Saccharomyces cerevisiae S288C: one gene and its partners. Changing the gene in region 2 together with the main gene of any one other region gives a genetic interaction. Each region holds a gene or a part of one and is shown on either strand. Other genes may lie near its edges.

The links.
Region 1: mutations in BRE5 (region 2) and SEC27 together harm fitness more than expected from each alone (negative genetic interaction), as found in Saccharomyces cerevisiae (5 studies listed by BioGRID).
Region 3: mutations in BRE5 (region 2) and MCK1 together harm fitness more than expected from each alone (negative genetic interaction), as found in Saccharomyces cerevisiae (6 studies listed by BioGRID).

What each region holds. Positions count from the first base shown.
Region 1 is NC_001139.9:247,939-255,604, reverse strand, and holds SEC27 (coatomer subunit beta'), read right to left. Parts: upstream 5,737-7,666; coding exon 5,719-5,736; intron 5,519-5,718; coding exon 2,867-5,518; downstream 1-2,866. Other genes in the region: 60S ribosomal protein uL1 RPL1B, read right to left, coding at 311-964; MRM2 (21S rRNA (uridine2791-2'-O) methyltransferase), read left to right, coding at 1,746-2,708; YGL138C (uncharacterized protein), read left to right, coding at 6,074-7,111; FLC3 (putative flavin adenine dinucleotide transporter), read right to left, coding at 7,481-7,666. UniProt on the Saccharomyces cerevisiae protein: The coatomer is a cytosolic protein complex that binds to dilysine motifs and reversibly associates with Golgi non-clathrin-coated vesicles, which further mediate biosynthetic protein transport from the ER, via the Golgi up to the trans Golgi network.
Region 2 is NC_001146.8:713,914-719,919, reverse strand, and holds BRE5 (Bre5p), read left to right. Parts: upstream 1-1,592; coding exon 1,593-3,140; downstream 3,141-6,006. Other genes in the region: CCR4-NOT core DEDD family RNase subunit POP2, read left to right, coding at 1-574; LYS9 (saccharopine dehydrogenase (NADP+, L-glutamate-forming)), read left to right, coding at 4,532-5,872. UniProt on the Saccharomyces cerevisiae protein: Has a role in de-ubiquitination. In conjunction with UBP3, cleaves ubiquitin, leading to the subsequent mono-ubiquitination of sec23.
Region 3 is NC_001146.8:53,580-59,199, reverse strand, and holds MCK1 (serine/threonine/tyrosine protein kinase MCK1), read left to right. Parts: upstream 1-1,626; coding exon 1,627-2,754; downstream 2,755-5,620. Other genes in the region: BXI1 (Bxi1p), read left to right, coding at 1-302; mitochondrial 37S ribosomal protein uS11m MRPS18, read right to left, coding at 392-1,045; KRI1 (Kri1p), read left to right, coding at 3,303-5,078; STB1 (Stb1p), read right to left, coding at 5,276-5,620. UniProt on the Saccharomyces cerevisiae protein: May be an autophosphorylating tyrosine kinase, a bifunctional (serine/tyrosine-specific) protein kinase, or a serine kinase that is a substrate for an associated tyrosine kinase.

The DNA.
Region 1 (7,666 bases), on a different chromosome or scaffold from region 2:
AATAGCAGGTATGGTTGAACTGATTGAACACCAAAGCATATCGATCTGTGAAATTCACTCAACATGCTTTTAAAGTAAGGCAAGTTCTAAGTGATTTCCTACAAAACATCGCTGAGAAAGGAAAGAAAAATGGCATGATATGGAGTAAGAATCGGATCGGTGCAATATACTCCGAGCTTCCCGAAAAGATATATTCCGGGCCCAAAAATATCTGGCTAAAACTATGCATAATACTTTTACTACTTAGAGTCATACGTATTAAAAAAGGTATTTAAAAAGATGGAGATATGTATTAATCGCTCGGAAGTGATTAGTACAATCTGAAAGCTGGACCCATGGAGGACTTAACAACCAAGGAACCAACATTTTGCCAGTTCTTCTTCAACAAAGAAACAAAGAAGTTAACAGACATCAAGATTTGGTTAACCAAAACGTCTTCTTCCATTTCAACGTTACCAACGGCAACAGCCAAACACAAGACCTTCTTCAATTGGAACTTGATGGTAGATCTGACATCAGTGACCTTACCGTACAAGTCATCGTTGTGAGAAACTGGGGTTGGGAACTTACCAGCCTTGGACAATTGAGGACCCAATAGTCTTGGAACTTGCTTGATCAAAACTTCGGAAGCAATGAAAGCGTTGTACTTCTTAGACAACTTCTTGATTAACTTCTTGTTCTTGTTCAACTTCTTCAAGTCATCGACGGACATAGCGTCAACACCGCAAGACTTAGCTCTGTCAACATCGAAAGCATCACCGAAGATACAGATGGACATGTTTGGTCTTGGACAGTTTGGCAACTTCAAAGAACCAGAGAAACGCTTGTCTCTTTGAGGGTCATAGTTCTTCAAACCGACTTGTAGTTCGACGGTTTCCAAGAAGTTTCTCTTCTTGGTTTCGTTGGAATACTTCAACAATTCCTTGACGTGTTCTCTGACTTGAGAAGAGGTGATCTTAGACATTTTATGATATGTAATTAGTCTTCCAAAGTATTTGGTGGTCCGTGAGGCTTGCGACTAGTTCTATGGAGTCTTTCCTGAAACTTCAAGAGGTTACCAAATAACGTAATGCTCAAGAAGTGCTGCGAAGATGTACTTACATATCTTAATCCAAATACAACACTCTTCCCATTGATTGCGTCTTTCTTCCTCGGACTTTCCAATCTGAGGCCAAAAGATGTCTATGGCATTATTGTGTGCGAAAAAAAAGTTTCAGGAAAAAAAAACTTTAAATATTTGAGGTTGCACCCGTGCATATTGAAAGATGTATGGGTTCAAAAATGTCCGTATTCAACTTTTGCCAAAAGCTGATAGCTGTTTGGCCTTATGAGGTAAGGTTTATGAACGCAGTCTTCTTCATTGCGATCTAAAAGTTGATATGTTAATGGAGATAATGGTAGAGTAAACTGAATTTTTTACAGTCCCCTTTCTTGAAATTAAGCAAGTTATTTAGCTAACTTACATACCATCTTCATGTATCGTTTTTGATTTTTCAGTTCTTTTTTAAAAAAGAAGATCAAGTAATTTGTTCTAATCAAAGAAGAAGGTTCAATACCGTTTCTCTGGTATTTGTAAGATCTCTTTTACTGGCGTTCTTTTAAAAATGATCAGGTCCGGTTAAAGGGCGTCTCCGTCAATGAGAGAAAAATGTCAGCCTCTGATATAGATGGAAGTCGTAGCCATCAAGATGGGCTTATCCGAGGTTTGAAGTAATGACTACACATACTGACGGGAAAATTACAGCATGATTTTAGTGTACAATCGTATCAGGAGTATAATATCGTCTTCTTTAGGTCGAATACATGTACGGTATAATTCTAACTCACAAAACAGATGGCTGAATAGACAACTGAAGGATCCCTACACAAAAGAGGCCAAGGTCCAAAATCTGAGGTCTAGAGCCGCATTCAAGCTTATGCAGATTGATGATAAATATCGGCTTTTTAGCAAAAACAGGACCGATCAGAGAATTCTAGATCTTGGGTATGCCCCTGGGGCTTGGTCCCAAGTAGCACGGCAAAGAAGTTCACCTAATTCAATGATACTGGGCGTTGACATTCTCCCTTGTGAACCTCCGCATGGTGTGAACTCTATTCAAGCTAATATATTGGCCAAAAGAACTCATGATCTTATACGGCTCTTTTTTTCTAAGCATTTCCAATTGAACAGACACGATGATTTGCATAAGGACCATGGCTATTTCCAGAACATGCTCGAGGAGGAGCTAACCCATGTGAAAGATACTGAATTGTACCGTGAAATTTTCACCTCTGATGACATTTATGAAACTCCGAATACGAATAGTACCCTAATAGAACGAGAAAAATTCCCAGTTGATGTGATTATAAGTGATATGTATGAACCCTGGCCCCAAACAACCGGTTTTTGGAACAACATTACTAATCAAGCTTATTTTAGGATGGCTAATACATCTGGTGTCAGTATAAGAGACCATTACCAATCTATTGATTTATGTGACGCAGCCTTAGTTACGGCTATAGATTTATTACGGCCATTAGGTTCGTTTGTTTGTAAACTATACACCGGCGAAGAAGAAAACCTATTTAAAAAAAGAATGCAGGCAGTTTTCACTAACGTTCATAAGTTCAAGCCTGACGCTTCTAGAGACGAATCAAAGGAGACCTATTATATCGGATTAAAGAAGAAAAGAAATGTAGATAAACTGGACGTGTTTAGTAATTCATAATATGATTTGTTTGCGCGCAAAGTTTCAAGTCACGTTCATTTTCACACCTATCGCAATAAAAATAAAAAGTGTACATCTGTATATATATATGTTTACCATCCATTAAAGATGTTTTCTCATTCGTTGATTAGTTCTTTATTTGTCTTTCTATGAGGTGGTTAACTCTCTTCTTCCACAGGCTCCGGCACTGCCTCTCCTTGCTCCGGCTGTTGTTCTGATTGTTGTTGCTGGGGAGCTTCCTCTTCTTTTTTTTCGGCTTCAACTGCCTCTGAGTTGGATTCTTTAAACTCGCTGTCCTCAACTTCAGCTTCTTTGTTTTCGTCAGCTTGTTCTGGGGCTGGAGTGGAATCTAAGTCAATGAGTGGTTGGGCATCTCCTGAACTCGAAGAGCCTGGTAAACCTTCGGCCCCACAAACTCTTTCTGATACAGTATTCTTACCGTTGAGTATCAAATTTTCCTTCCATTTTGTAACAATATCGTTGACTGCATCATCTCCTAAACCGTATGTTGATCCAAGGAAAGCGGCTTCGGAAAACCTTTGAGACTTGATTAAAAGATCTTTAGCGCCTTGTATATCGCCAGCGATCCAATATGCATTAAAAGCCAAATTGAATTTACCGGCCCTTTCAGCATCTTTAGCTAAAGTGACCAACCCCTCCTTGTTATTAAAAGATGAGTGCAATAGAAATAAAGATTCTAGATCATGTGCATTTGTGAAAGCTTCAACAGCAAGTTTAAAATTGAACCTTTGTAAGGAAGCATCACCCAAGGCTCTCCATTTCATTTCGGCGCTTTCATCTGTCAACAAATCGCGAGCAAGCGTAAGTTGGCCGACTTTTAAGGCTAGCTCAAATTTTTGATCTTGATCAGGGGAAATATTCAGTGCTTCTTCATAATACTCTTGACCTTCCAGAAATCTAGCAATTTTTGTTAAAGAGTCCTTACCCTCAACATTTGGGAGTACATTTTCAATGGCTTCTTCAATTTCCCCTCTTAAAGTCAATGTTTGGAACTCCAGCACCTCTAGAGATATTTCGTAACCATAAACATGGACCTCTCTGTCAGCTAAATATACTTTATTATCACGTGCTAGATAGCCCAATAGATACATTTCCTTTGTGTAATGGGCTAAATTATAAGTCTTTCCACCTACGAAGTAGTTCAGCCTGTTAGTTGCTGTGGTAAAGATAAAGACATCACCAACCCATTTGCCTGATGTAATGGATTCACTTAGTTCATACAATACGTCAAAAGCCTCATCAACACCTTCTGAATCGTCGATATTGCCATTATTTGCTGCTTCAAGGTAAGCATCCTTGTTGAATAATAATGTGTAACCACTTGCTTCATCACCATTACTATTGGTGTTGACAATCATCACCAGCTCACCGTTATCGGACCAAATGACATCCTTAGCATTAACATCAATTCTTCTAACTAGCGTACCGTTGTCCCAATCGAAGAAATAGACGAAGCCATCAGACTTCACACCCAACAAGGCACCTGAAAATAATCTATCAATAGCAGAATGCATTGGGACAGACCATGATGTGACTTCTTTAAAGTTTTTGTAGTATTTAATTTGCCCAGTTTCATCAATTAAAGCATAACTATTGGAGTCGGGGCCCCAAACAAAGTCTTGACATTTACCGAAGGCTTTGTTTCTCCAAGCCAACGCCGTATAAATAACGTATTCACCATCCCCAACAACTGTAACAAACCTACCATTTGGAGAATGGGCTAAAGATTGAGGGAAAACATCAACGGAACCCAGCTCCTTAGTTTGTAAAGATAATGGTTCATCTTGTTCAACTTCTTCGTTACCTCTTATGACGGCAGTGAAAATGTCTGAAGCTGCGGCATTTTTGCCACCTGACCATACTAGCTTACCGACAGGGTCAAGTGATAAAGTTGGTTCATCATTTCCCAAGGAAAGTACGGTAAACCCATTATCAAACCCGGATGCAATGTAGTTTTTACGTCCTGTTGGATGGGTAGCGATACACCAACTTCTTTCTAAACCAACGTTTAAAGTCTTTTCTACCTTGTAAGTGGAAGAATTCCATATCTTTAAAGTGCCATCTTCGGAACCAGAAATTATAATGGGTAAAGTTGGATGGAAAACAGCAAAAGAAACATTGGACATGTGACCTTCTAGAGTGGCTACACATGACTTCGTTTGGTAATCCCAAATTTTGATGGTTAAGTCGTCCGACGCAGTAATCATATAAGGCTTGTCAGGTAGCGGGTAATAATCAACATAATTCACACCTCTTTCTTGTCCTGTGGTTAACGTGAAATTTGGTGTCGATTGTCCCAATGACCAAACTTTAACGGTTCGGTCCAAACACCCAGATGCAAACGTACTAGGATCCTTTGGATTGAATGCGACGCACATGACAAAGTGTTCGTGACCTTCAAAAGTTTGTTCTAAGGCCCAGTTATTTTCCCAATTCCATAGTTTGACTGTCAAATCATCACTGCCGGATAAAACATAAGGCTTTGTTGGATGTACAGCAATGGAACGGATATAGTCTGGATGAGCTTCGAAATCAACAACTTTTTCACCTGTATTGTAGTTGAAGACTCTGATCCTGAAATCATCACTCCCAACAATTATCCAATTCTTTCTTGCAATGAATTTACCTGCTCTAACAGGAGTTTCCGTAACTTGGATGGATCTAACTTCAACTTGTGTTTCGTAATTCCAAAGCTCAACACGACCAGAGTACAAGGTAGTCAAAACCCATGGCTCAGTAGGATGGAAATCGATACCTTTAACTCGATCGGATCTATTACTAAAAGTTTTCTATCATAAATGTACAGTGTCAAATAAAGGAAATGCCAAGAGCAAATGCATTTATTTCAAAAATCTTCCTGTTAGTAACTAATCTTAATGTTTGCTTTTTGCAGGCTTTGTATTCTTCGCGAACGAGATCATTTCCTAATCATAGGAGTTGTCGGAGCTTGTTCGCAATTGCATTGGCAAAACGCGCTCTGGTAACATACCTTTATATCCAACTTCATCGTGTCCGTATAATTGTTTCGATTGGGTGTCTTAATTCACCATTACAAGCTACCATTTATTGCAGCTTTCTGTTATTTACTCCCAAATCTTACACGACATGTTCCTAATGCCAGCTCGATTCATTCATGAAAAAAAGACAGTTTATTACCCGCTCATTCGTCAGACGCGATTAAAATTTGACGCCGCGTCACAAAATAATCAATTTGATAATAATATATTTGATATTATTGTCCATATTCAATAATTAGTAATGTGGATCTAATGATTTTTATACAGCTCAATACAAAGCAACAAAACTAAAAATAGATTATAATATCCAAAGTGCTCCTCGGATGAATGTACAACTTTTTAGAATTTTTCTTCTTTTTTATAACGTACACCTTATTTAAGAGCACTTTCGTTCAAGGAAAAAGTTCATTTCCTGGACATGATGTGTGTAAGTTCGAAGACCAAAATTTCCAGACAGAGTTCTTCTTAAATGTTCTTAAAGGTGACAAGTTACAGAACTTGAAGCAGGAGTACGAACAATACAAAAAACAAAGTACTTTGTACACAGGCTTTGTAATTGAAAAACAATATGAATACCAGGTAGCGCCCTTGCAAATCAATAATTTTCTTCAAGTGACCTTTTGTAAAGGAGGAAAGCCAATTTGGAATCATATTCTACCCTTTCAAAAGGATTTAGATTGGGCAGAACCACTATGCATTCCAGCCCAGGAGGATGATACTATCTCCCAAAACAGCTCAGTATGTTTCAAGTTTGCAAGGGTGCAGAAATATACACAGCGTAATGTAACCCTTTACTTTCCTAATAAATTTGTTGGATTCGTATTTGTTTGCAATTCTTCAAAGACGCATCCCCCCACTCAGAACAATTTTGAAACTATTCCATTAACGCCTATTATTTCTGATGATATTAGAGATTACAAAATATCTTGGTCAATTAAAGGAAGAATCACCAAGGTGGTACCTTATCTACATTCGTTAAGTATTCCTATGTCCAAATATGAGATGCTCATCCATTCAGATAAGAACATATCAAACGAATTGGAATATAAATCCTTAACTTCGGAGTTTTGGAAGAGCTATAAAAACTTAAGAAAGTTTAAAAACAAAGAAATGTCTTGGATAAACGAAATAAATCCTATGGAGCAATATGATAGCTCTGGGAATGAAAATGTCCCGAATTTTCATGAAAAACTAGACCGTACAATAAATCGGATTGCGCAAAACATAGAAAGGCCTCATGATGCACTAATAAGAGCGATAGCCGCACATAATAGAAACTCTAATAGTGGAAATATTACAAGAAGGAAATATTTGAGGAGGAAGATCTCAAAGATGTTAAAAAATAAGATACCTCTTAAGAACTGAACAACTTACACATTCCTATTCATGAAAAAACATAATTTTATAATAAATTGTTTGTTTGATTCGATTAGTTTATTTAACTTGATTAATTTAAGTATTTATTTTTTTTTAATTTGTTGTTACACGAGGAGTATTAAAAATATGACAAACTGGGATATTACAACATAGAAACAAAGATAACAAAAGCTATCTATTTTAAAAAAATTCATATTAAGCAAACTGGTACAAAGTGTTTTAACGTTATTAATGAAAAAGAAAACTTGGGAAACTTCTGACAAAAACAGAATTTAGAAGGTTAGAAGGAGAATGAGAAAAACCTGTAAAATTAAAAATTTTTATGATAGGAGCAGAACTTTTGTATATCGTAAAGACTCACATAAATCCTTCATCGAAGAATCCAGGGGGTTTCCTCAGTGGTTGTTTATTGTTTCCCAAACTATTTATGCTGTCATCTCGAACATAGTTTTGCGACCTAAATCCTCCGTCCGAACTTGAGGTATCTAAAAGGTCTCCTTCAGTGGAGTCGTGAAATGGATCGGTATTTGAACTTGTATCTTC
Region 2 (6,006 bases):
GTGGCAGTTCAATTTTGAATTTGACCCAAAGAAGGAAATCATGTCCACAGAATCGTTAGAATTACTCAGAAAATCAGGTATCAACTTCGAAAAACACGAAAATTTAGGCATCGATGTATTTGAATTTTCGCAGCTTCTAATGGACTCTGGTTTAATGATGGATGATTCTGTTACTTGGATCACATACCATGCGGCATATGATCTAGGTTTCCTGATCAACATTCTAATGAATGACTCCATGCCCAACAACAAGGAGGATTTCGAGTGGTGGGTCCATCAATACATGCCCAATTTCTACGACTTAAACCTGGTGTATAAAATAATCCAGGAGTTCAAGAACCCTCAATTGCAACAATCTTCACAACAGCAACAGCAGCAGCAATATTCACTAACCACACTTGCCGATGAGTTAGGGCTACCAAGATTCTCTATATTTACTACTACAGGCGGCCAGAGTCTATTGATGCTTCTATCCTTCTGCCAATTGAGCAAGCTGTCTATGCATAAGTTCCCAAACGGTACGGATTTCGCCAAGTACCAAGGTGTCATATACGGTATTGATGGGGACCAATGATCATTTATGTACTATATGTATACACAATTTTAAAAAAAAAAGTTTAAAAGCAACATCAGCTTATGATTGGACATGTAGTAATACAGATTGGTTCTTCGATGCAATAAGCACTCTTCCACAGGAGATTGATGCGTTATTCCCGTATAGTTATCGGTCACGTGCGCTGTAGTTTGTTTAACCATTTATTTTTTCTTGGAAATTTTTTCGTCCAAAGCAGCGAAAAACATCAGGTGGCGATTAATGAAAGAATGACATATTGCAAGCAGCATAACCGTCCATTCCAGGGATAAGAGGAAGTACAAGCTTCTTTATTAATAGTTCTAGAGTGACTACATTATTTCAGATTAGGCAATATTACCTTTTCGTACCGTTTTTTTTTCCTGTCCACTGTTACTATTGTTACGGTTAAAAGTTCTATCGCAACCGGCGGACGTTAAACTAAGTCATTTGTTTTTTATCCCATTACTGTTTCAAAAAAGAGCAATTCATACCTAATTTGTACAAAACGAAGACTGTACAAGTGGTAGTACTTGACATAGGATATTTTGCTTGAGTATTAGAAGAATACGAAAAACTTCTTCAGTTTTCTAGTTACCGTTAGTACCAAAACTATTCTAGAGGAAGAATAAACAGTAAGATATTGCTTTAATTTATTTATATCACCTACCACAAGCTTTCGTTTTTTTACTCTGTTTAATTCTTCAAGTTGTGTTTTTTCCCTACATTTTAATTCATTTTTGCCCATTTAATTACATTTTTTTTTTTGTTTTATTATTTTCGTTCAAACCTCATTTTCTTTCAAATATTCAATTAGTCAATCATTTTACAGAGAATCTGTTGAAAACTTATTTTACTGATACATCTTTATTTTTCGTTGATTTTTAAAGAGAAAAAGATCACGAAGAATACTACAAAACCATCGCATTTTTTTTTTCAAGTGTGTTATAGTTTTATTACCTTGTCACTAATAGTTGCATTTGAAGTCATACCCTCGAATAGAAGTATCAAATAAAAGAAAATGGGTGTTACCGTTCAAGACATATGTTTTGCCTTTTTGCAAAACTACTACGAAAGAATGAGGACCGACCCTTCCAAATTGGCATATTTTTATGCAAGTACAGCCGAGTTGACGCATACTAATTATCAGTCCAAGTCAACAAACGAAAAAGATGACGTTCTTCCAACGGTGAAAGTTACTGGACGTGAAAACATTAATAAGTTTTTTTCTAGAAATGATGCCAAAGTTAGGAGCTTGAAACTAAAATTAGATACTATAGATTTCCAGTACACTGGGCACTTGCACAAAAGCATTCTGATCATGGCCACGGGTGAAATGTTTTGGACAGGAACTCCGGTCTATAAGTTTTGTCAAACATTTATCCTGCTACCATCCAGCAATGGGTCTACGTTTGACATTACCAATGATATAATCAGATTTATTTCCAATTCATTCAAGCCTTATGTCTTAACAGATGCTTCTTTGTCACAATCTAACGAGGAGAACTCTGTCAGTGCAGTTGAAGAAGATAAAATAAGGCATGAGTCCGGAGTTGAAAAAGAAAAAGAAAAAGAAAAATCACCAGAAATATCGAAACCAAAGGCCAAAAAGGAAACGGTCAAAGACACAACTGCGCCAACTGAATCGTCAACTCAGGAAAAACCAATTGTCGATCATAGTCAACCTCGGGCTATACCCGTCACTAAAGAGTCCAAGATTCACACCGAAACGGTACCATCTAGTACTAAGGGCAACCACAAACAAGATGAGGTCTCTACAGAAGAGTTAGGAAACGTTACTAAACTAAATGAAAAATCTCACAAAGCCGAAAAGAAAGCTGCACCAATCAAGACAAAGGAAGGCTCTGTTGAGGCCATAAATGCTGTTAATAACTCTTCTTTGCCCAACGGTAAAGAAGTTAGTGATGAAAAACCGGTACCTGGGGGCGTAAAGGAAGCTGAAACTGAAATTAAACCAATAGAGCCACAGGTTTCCGACGCCAAAGAATCCGGCAATAACGCTTCAACACCTTCATCTTCTCCAGAGCCCGTTGCGAATCCACCAAAGATGACATGGGCCTCAAAGTTGATGAATGAAAACTCCGACAGAATTAGCAAAAATAATACCACGGTTGAATACATCAGACCTGAAACACTACCCAAGAAACCGACTGAAAGAAAATTTGAAATGGGGAATCGGAGGGACAACGCTAGTGCTAACAGCAAAAATAAGAAAAAACCAGTATTCAGCACCGTTAACAAGGACGGCTTTTATCCAATCTACATTAGAGGTACAAATGGCTTAAGAGAAGAAAAATTGAGAAGTGCCTTAGAAAAAGAATTCGGTAAAGTTATGAGGATAACAGCTGCAGACAATTTTGCCGTCGTCGACTTTGAAACTCAAAAGAGCCAAATCGATGCTTTAGAGAAGAAGAAAAAGTCAATTGATGGTATTGAAGTATGCTTAGAAAGAAAAACAGTAAAGAAGCCCACGAGCAATAATCCTCCTGGCATATTTACTAATGGAACACGTTCTCATAGAAAGCAACCCCTAAAAAGAAAGGACTAGTCAACCACAAGCCTTTTAAAAAGAAAAATTGAAAAAATAATAAAAAAATTTGAAAAAGAAAAAAAAAAATCATAAAACCAATCTTAAGAAAAACCAAAAAAAAACCGCTAATTAAAATCTAAAAAATTGAAACAAGAAACTGTATGATTAGTAACTAATATACTGGCGCGGAAGGGAATGAATGCCATTTAAATGAGATGATTATGAAAATATAGCGTAGAGTAGATGCGCGAAACCGAGGCAGAAAAGAAAAAGAGACAAGTTAAAAATTGAATATAATGATATATGGGCACTTTCTTCTGTGCTAGGAAACGGAGGTAGAAGGGGATAGCAAGCTTGAGCAGTAATTAAAAAAAAAAAAAAGCATATTGATAGATAGCTCATTTGTAGTTAACTGACGACATTTATGTACATAATTAAAATAGAAGAAAATTTTCAAAAAAAATTCTCCTGGCGATTGTTAGGGACAAGAAAACAAGCCATGTTGTAACCAATAAATGTTACACGCCTTCAAAATAAAAAAAAGATGGACAAAAGAGATAAATCTTTTGCTTTTTCTTACTCTGTGTTGTTGTCAACAAAGACAACAAACGTGTGAATAATCTACGGGATTCGTTTACCATAGGCTACCTAGAAATGGCATAGTCATGGAGATAAAGTCCCATGATATTGTAAACTAAATTGAAAGTAAAATCAAGGAAAAAACAAGTGAGATTGCAATAAGCAATCAAGAGAGAAAAGTTTTTTGACTGATTTTCGACTTGCTTTTATACCGATTTTGAAAAGTCGCGGGGAAAAGCTGGCAATTATTTTTCATTTTTTTTCATTAGGGCTAGAAGTTGCTAAGAGCAAACAAACTGTTACTTGAAAGGTTTTCCCACGTTGGTAGCTACATATGCAAGAGTCTTATGTATCGTATCTAAGTGCCACGTAGGGGATTCCCATCATTTGATGATTTCCAAATATAATACCTGTAGAGAGCGGTGGAGCAAAAGTCAAATTTTAATCGCAACTGCAGACAAGTCAAGCTGAGGAAATTGTGGATGATCTCTTGTTTCTTTTGATATTCACCACAACAGAAGTGAAGAGTGTGATTGCGGTTACTACTGACCACGAAGCAATGCGTTTAGTAGTGAAAAGAATTACTCATACTCTGGAATCGAAATTCCGTTGGAAAAATTCGCTTTGTAGTGAAAAATAAAGATGTCAATAAAGGGTATTGAGAATTTCCAATGGAATTATCAGCAATAGATGATAGAAAGTAGCACAGAATTTGGCTTAATGGTATATAAACCGTAGGGTCCTGGTAAAATTACATGGGAAGGATCCTTAGGCAGTAGGGAAAACTTATCAGGACAATTGAGTTATATTAACGTATTATATATTTTAATATGGGAAAGAACGTTTTGTTGCTAGGATCTGGTTTTGTTGCACAACCTGTTATCGACACATTGGCTGCTAATGATGACATCAATGTCACTGTCGCATGTAGAACATTAGCCAATGCGCAAGCATTGGCCAAGCCCTCTGGATCCAAGGCTATTTCATTGGATGTTACCGATGACAGTGCCTTAGACAAAGTTCTGGCTGATAACGATGTTGTCATCTCTTTGATTCCATACACCTTCCATCCAAATGTGGTAAAGAGCGCCATCAGAACAAAGACCGATGTCGTCACTTCCTCTTACATCTCACCTGCCTTAAGAGAATTGGAACCAGAAATCGTAAAGGCAGGTATTACAGTTATGAACGAAATTGGGTTGGATCCAGGTATCGACCACTTGTATGCGGTCAAGACTATTGATGAAGTTCACAGAGCTGGTGGTAAGCTAAAGTCATTCTTGTCATACTGTGGTGGTTTACCAGCTCCTGAAGACTCTGATAATCCATTAGGATACAAATTTTCATGGTCCTCCAGAGGTGTGCTACTGGCTTTAAGAAACTCTGCTAAATACTGGAAAGACGGAAAGATTGAAACTGTTTCTTCCGAAGACTTAATGGCCACTGCTAAGCCTTACTTCATCTACCCAGGTTATGCATTCGTTTGCTACCCAAATAGAGACTCTACCCTTTTCAAGGATCTTTATCATATTCCAGAAGCCGAAACGGTCATTAGAGGTACTTTGAGATATCAAGGTTTCCCAGAATTTGTTAAGGCTTTAGTTGACATGGGTATGTTGAAGGATGATGCTAACGAAATCTTCAGCAAGCCAATTGCCTGGAACGAAGCACTAAAACAATATTTAGGTGCCAAGTCTACTTCTAAAGAAGATTTGATTGCTTCCATTGACTCAAAGGCTACTTGGAAAGATGATGAAGATAGAGAAAGAATCCTTTCCGGGTTTGCTTGGTTAGGCTTGTTCTCTGACGCAAAGATCACACCAAGAGGTAATGCTTTAGACACTCTATGTGCACGTTTAGAAGAACTAATGCAATATGAAGACAATGAAAGAGATATGGTTGTACTACAACACAAATTCGGTATTGAATGGGCTGATGGAACTACCGAAACAAGAACATCCACTTTAGTTGACTATGGTAAGGTTGGTGGTTACAGTTCTATGGCCGCTACTGTTGGTTATCCAGTTGCCATTGCAACGAAATTCGTCTTAGATGGTACAATCAAGGGACCAGGCTTACTAGCGCCATACTCACCAGAGATTAATGATCCAATCATGAAAGAACTAAAGGACAAGTACGGCATCTATCTAAAGGAAAAGACAGTGGCTTAAATAAGAAGAAATGTATCAAAAGGTTTATCATACGTAACAGTAACGGCACTTTATAAATCTTTCTTTAGTATTACTTATACTTTCATAAGGAAACGTAAAAAAAAAAAAACCGGAAAGAGGGACAAAATGGACTA
Region 3 (5,620 bases), 660 kb from region 2:
ACGTGCTGAATTCCGCAACGTCAATATACTATTGGTTAAACTGGGGTCTATGGATTATGATCGGAATGGGTCTCACGGCCTTGCTTTTCGGCTGGAATACCCACTCTTCCAAGTTTAATCTGCTTTACGGCTGGCTTGGTGCCATTTTATTTACCGCGTATCTTTTCATCGATACGCAACTGATTTTTAGGAAAGTGTATCCTGATGAAGAAGTTAGATGCGCCATGATGCTTTACCTGGACATCGTCAATTTGTTTTTGTCTATTTTAAGGATTTTGGCCAACTCTAACGACGACAATTAAAAAAAGGGAAAAATCGAATTATTTACACGAATATATATATATTTCTTCTTCTTTTACATAGTTTATAATTCATACATAGTGGGAGCTGATCATAGTCTTCTCATCTTTGGTGATCTTACACCACCAAACTTCAATTTGGTGGCATCGCTGATCTTCACAACCTTTTTCACCACACTGGCCCCTTCCTTACCAACAAGAGCGGAAATAAAAGCAGCTCTGCCCTTCCCAAAGTCGTCCATCACCACTTCGATATCTTTGTTCAGCATGTTCTTTTCCTTAATCAATTCAAACATTCTACCACTGGTTTGAAATGCAGCTTCATACTCCCCTCTTGCTGCCTTCCTAAACCCTAAACAACCTGTAGATAGCGAAATCTTCACTTTCTGGGGTAAGTTCAAATAGTACAGCATTGTATCATTATACGTAAGTCCCTTATTCTTATGAAAGTTCTTGTCCTCCACAACGCTTGAAAATGTCAAATGCGTGTTATTTTTAGTAAACTTGCCATGTAGAATGTACTTAACTACTTCCTCTTTGGGCTTGTAAACCTCACTACTACCATTTGACTTTGTCAAAACTGAGTCAGAGGACGAAGGATACGAGATATTCGTGATATCCTCCTGATTTGAAATATCCTTAAATGAAAAAGGAACTCCTCTATTCGTGCCGGTAGAATTCCATCTTCTGATAGGCCTGACAAACTGCGTCCATCGGCAGCCTTTCCAAACAGGTTGTAACAGCATCACACGTAACTATAACAGTTCACACTGTCACTTTTTCTTTTCAGAAGAACCACTGCTTTCCACCTGATTTACTCTCATTTTGTCTTCCCTCTTTCCCAATTCATCGTTATTATGCCAAACAGTCACGAAGTACGAAACAAACACTCTCCGCTGCTATAGAAAGTTCCAATCTTAGGCTGAATAATGGAATACTAGTAGCTCAGTGATTATCATCATAATTGAAGCTATCATTAAAAAGCATGCAGCCATATTATGCAGGAATTATATGATCACACGTAGCTGTAGTGGCTTTCGAAAGCAGCATTCTTGCTTCCACTCAGTTCGTATGTAATGACAGTTCAGTGACCCACAAACAACACTGAAAAAAGCGACCTTCATATGCGGAAGAGGGCAGGCGTAACCTCCAAGGGAAAACGACATAGATTTCGCAAGTGAGTGCCATTGTGTCGTGTTAGTAGTGTGGGCAGGCCCGTAACGTGTTTATTGATAGGAGTTAAGCCCAAGACTACAGAGTTCTTTGCTTCATCTTTCAATTTTCTTTTTATTTTCCGAAACCCCCACTCCATCACATTCTAGTACATATGTCTACGGAAGAGCAGAATGGTGTTCCTCTGCAAAGGGGATCTGAATTCATTGCAGACGATGTAACCTCGAATAAATCGAACAACACGAGGCGGATGCTGGTGAAAGAGTACAGGAAAATCGGTAGAGGTGCCTTTGGGACTGTTGTACAAGCATATTTAACCCAGGATAAGAAAAACTGGTTGGGCCCCTTTGCAATTAAAAAAGTCCCTGCTCATACCGAGTACAAGTCCAGGGAATTACAGATTCTGAGGATTGCCGACCATCCAAATATCGTTAAATTGCAGTATTTCTTTACTCATTTGTCCCCGCAAGATAATAAAGTTTATCAACACCTTGCCATGGAATGCTTACCAGAAACTCTACAAATCGAGATTAATCGTTATGTGACAAACAAGCTAGAAATGCCATTAAAACATATCAGGCTATACACTTATCAGATTGCCCGCGGGATGCTTTATTTACACGGTCTTGGCGTTTGTCATCGTGATATCAAACCATCCAATGTTCTTGTAGACCCGGAAACCGGTGTCTTGAAAATCTGCGATTTTGGGTCTGCCAAAAAATTGGAACATAACCAGCCTTCAATTAGTTACATCTGTTCAAGATTTTATAGAGCGCCTGAATTGATCATTGGTTGTACCCAATATACCACCCAGATCGATATATGGGGGCTTGGTTGTGTCATGGGCGAGATGCTTATCGGCAAAGCCATATTTCAAGGTCAAGAACCCCTTCTACAGCTAAGGGAAATTGCTAAATTGTTAGGTCCTCCCGATAAAAGATTCATTTTCTTTTCGAATCCGGCCTACGATGGCCCTCTATTTTCCAAACCACTGTTCTCGGGCTCTTCGCAACAGAGGTTTGAGAAGTATTTTGGCCATTCCGGTCCAGATGGTATCGATCTTTTGATGAAAATATTGGTCTACGAACCACAACAAAGACTGTCTCCAAGAAGAATCCTTGCCCATCAGTTCTTTAATGAATTAAGGAATGATGACACTTTCTTACCAAGAGGTTTCACTGAACCAATCAAGCTACCAAATTTGTTTGATTTTAATGATTTTGAGTTACAAATTCTGGGTGAATTTGCTGATAAAATTAAACCTACGAAAGTTGCTGAATAATAATTTTCTATTAATTTGTTCTCTTTCCCCTCGGAAAATTTAATGAACAAAATACTATGATTTTTTTCACCTTTGATCCGCTGTTTATATTTCACTTGGAAAAGAAAAAAAATTTTTTGGAATAAAATATATTCAAATTTCCATTTGATATTATCATACACTTCTTTTATCCAGTCACTCCTTCAATTTCTTCTTTATTTTTTATTTTATGTTCCTAATTTTTTTTTATCTCTTTCCTATTTCCTGTTCTTTTATTAATCTGAAATATTATTATTACTTTAGTGTTAGTTTATAATTTTAATTAGGCCTACGTGGCTTGTAATAAATTGCCTCGCATGTTATCATTACTTATATAAAAGTATTATTGAAATACCGTCGTTATTTTTTGATATTTATGTGAGAAAAAAGTATTACCCGGAGGAGCCGCAAGGTCATCGGTTAAAATTTTTCAAATATATCAATCTCATCTCATCTAGTTAACAGAACCATTTCTTCAGAAAGCAAAATGCTCATAGTTTTCAACAACAGTGTGATATACCCTAAATTCAATGCCAAGAAAAAAGTCTGCCGCTAAAAGAGCTAGAGAACAAGCAAAAAAAGAAGCGGCCGTACCTGCAACGGATACTGCTACCATAAAAACTTCTGAAACCTCTGCGACGACAGTTAAGCCTGCAATCGAAGCAAGCAAATCGTACGTTCCTAGTGAAGATGAGGAAGAAGACGAAGAGGAAGAAGAGGAGGAAGATGATTACGGTGAATTGATTACTGATGAAGTGGAAAACGGTATTAATCAAGTGCTAGATGCCATCAAAAACAATAAGACGGACAAACTACTAGATCCTAAAGTCAAATTCTTCGAGGATCCCGAATCTGCTGCTGCCAAACTGGCCAATCGTGAGGGGAAGCATAAACCTATTTACCTAAAAGATTATCACCGTATGAACATACTTTCTGGTGATGCCTTAAAGGAGGATGACGAAGAATACGAACATGCAACTGTTGACGGAAAGCAATCTTTCGTCTCGCAACAACGTGAAGAGAAAACTCAGCTTTTAAATGAAATCAAGAGTGCCTTTAGCGATGAAGAAAATGAAGAGTCTAGCGGAGATGAAGACGATGGGTTTTTGAAGAAAAAGGAACCTTCTACGAAGAAGGAAGGAAAAAATTTACCGGATCCAACCGTAAATGAAGAAAATTTCTTGGAAGAATTTGTGAATCAACAGGCCTGGATTCCTAAGAAGGGGGACAAGGTGATTTCTCTTGACCTCAACAATAATGAAGAGGACGATGAAGAATTTGAAGATGCTGCAGAAAAATTTGAGAATGCCTACAATTTTAGGTACGAGGACCCAAACGCAGCTGAAATTATATCTTATGCACGTAGTCAAGCTACACTAAGAAGATCCGATGACTCTTCACGCAGAAGAAAAAGAGAGGAAAAAAGAAAAATTAAAGAGCAAATAAAAGCAGAGAAGGAGACAGCTCTTCAGAAAAAGAAGACTAAAAAATTGAATAAATTGACTGACATTTTAGAGCAACTAACAAAGGAATATGGTGCTGAAATTAATGCCGACATGGTGAAAAAAATCACTGACACCCTATTGAAGAACGATTTCAAAGAAGAAGAGTGGGATAACGTGGTAGCTGAATTATTTAATGAAGAATTTTATCAACAAGAGGGAAAGCCTACCTGGAACGAGGATGACGAAATAATGGGTGACTTTTATGCAGACGCCGATGGTGATGACCAAACAGAAGAAGGTGAAGTGGAAAAAGAACAAAAAGAAGAAGACGAGGAAGAAGGTCCAAAAAGAAAGAAGAGCAAGAAAGAAGAGAAACTGCAAAAGAAGAAAGAAAAGAGAAAGGTAAATGAATTAGTGGAAAATGCTTTGGAACAAAACAAACTAGCACTAATAGAGGAGGTTGAAAAAGAAGAAGAAGAAAGAAAGAGTAGAAGCCGTACAAAAGAGGAGCAAGATTTGAAGTTTCGTTACCGTGAAGTTTCTCCTGAGAGTTTCGGTTTGACCGCAAGAGAGATTTTCGCCGCCGATGATACTGATTTAAATGAATTTATTGGTTTGAAGAAATTTGCACCTTATCGTTCCAAGGAACTAAGAGCGAAGGATAAAAGGAAAGTGATGAAGGCAAGAAGATTAAGAGAGTGGAGGAAGAAAACTTTTAAGAACGAAAATGGGTTAGCTCCAGTCGAAGCAGAGGCAGGGGAGAAGGATGAGGACACCATACTGATACCTGTAGAGAAAGCCTCTAAAAGCAAACACAAGAGGGGGCACAGTCATAAACATAAAGGCCACCAGAAAAAGTAAACTAGGTGAAATATCGGCCCTGTATATTACGATACATAAGCTTACATAGTGATAATCTATCTCCGAATTTCCCTAAAAAAGAATGTCATTTTACGTATTAATATGTAATTTTATAATTTCAACATTTGTCATTTTTGTCCCTTTGAGTGGTCCATTTCAGGAAGTATGGAATCATCAACTGATATGGCCGTCAACGATCAATCAGTGAGTTTGTCATCAATGGACTCCCCTTCGCCTATACGGTCGGTGCCGGGTCCTACAATGAGCGGGATCCCGTTTGCGTTCATATCTAGAAAATTGTTTGTGGTGTGGCTTGATATAGCAGCTGTTGCTATCGCAGAAGTGTTGGAAGATGATCCGGGCACCATCGCTGGAACAGAAGGAATTGAAGCTGACGTGTTTGACGCTCCCTGCTGGGCGGGGACCCTTGGTGAAGGGCTGAAAAGATTATGCAGATAGTCTCCCATGTTGAAGTTGGGCGTCCTGAGTAAGTTAAAATTGGTACCGTTCAATTCTCTTGAAGGCGTGGTAGGTACGTTACT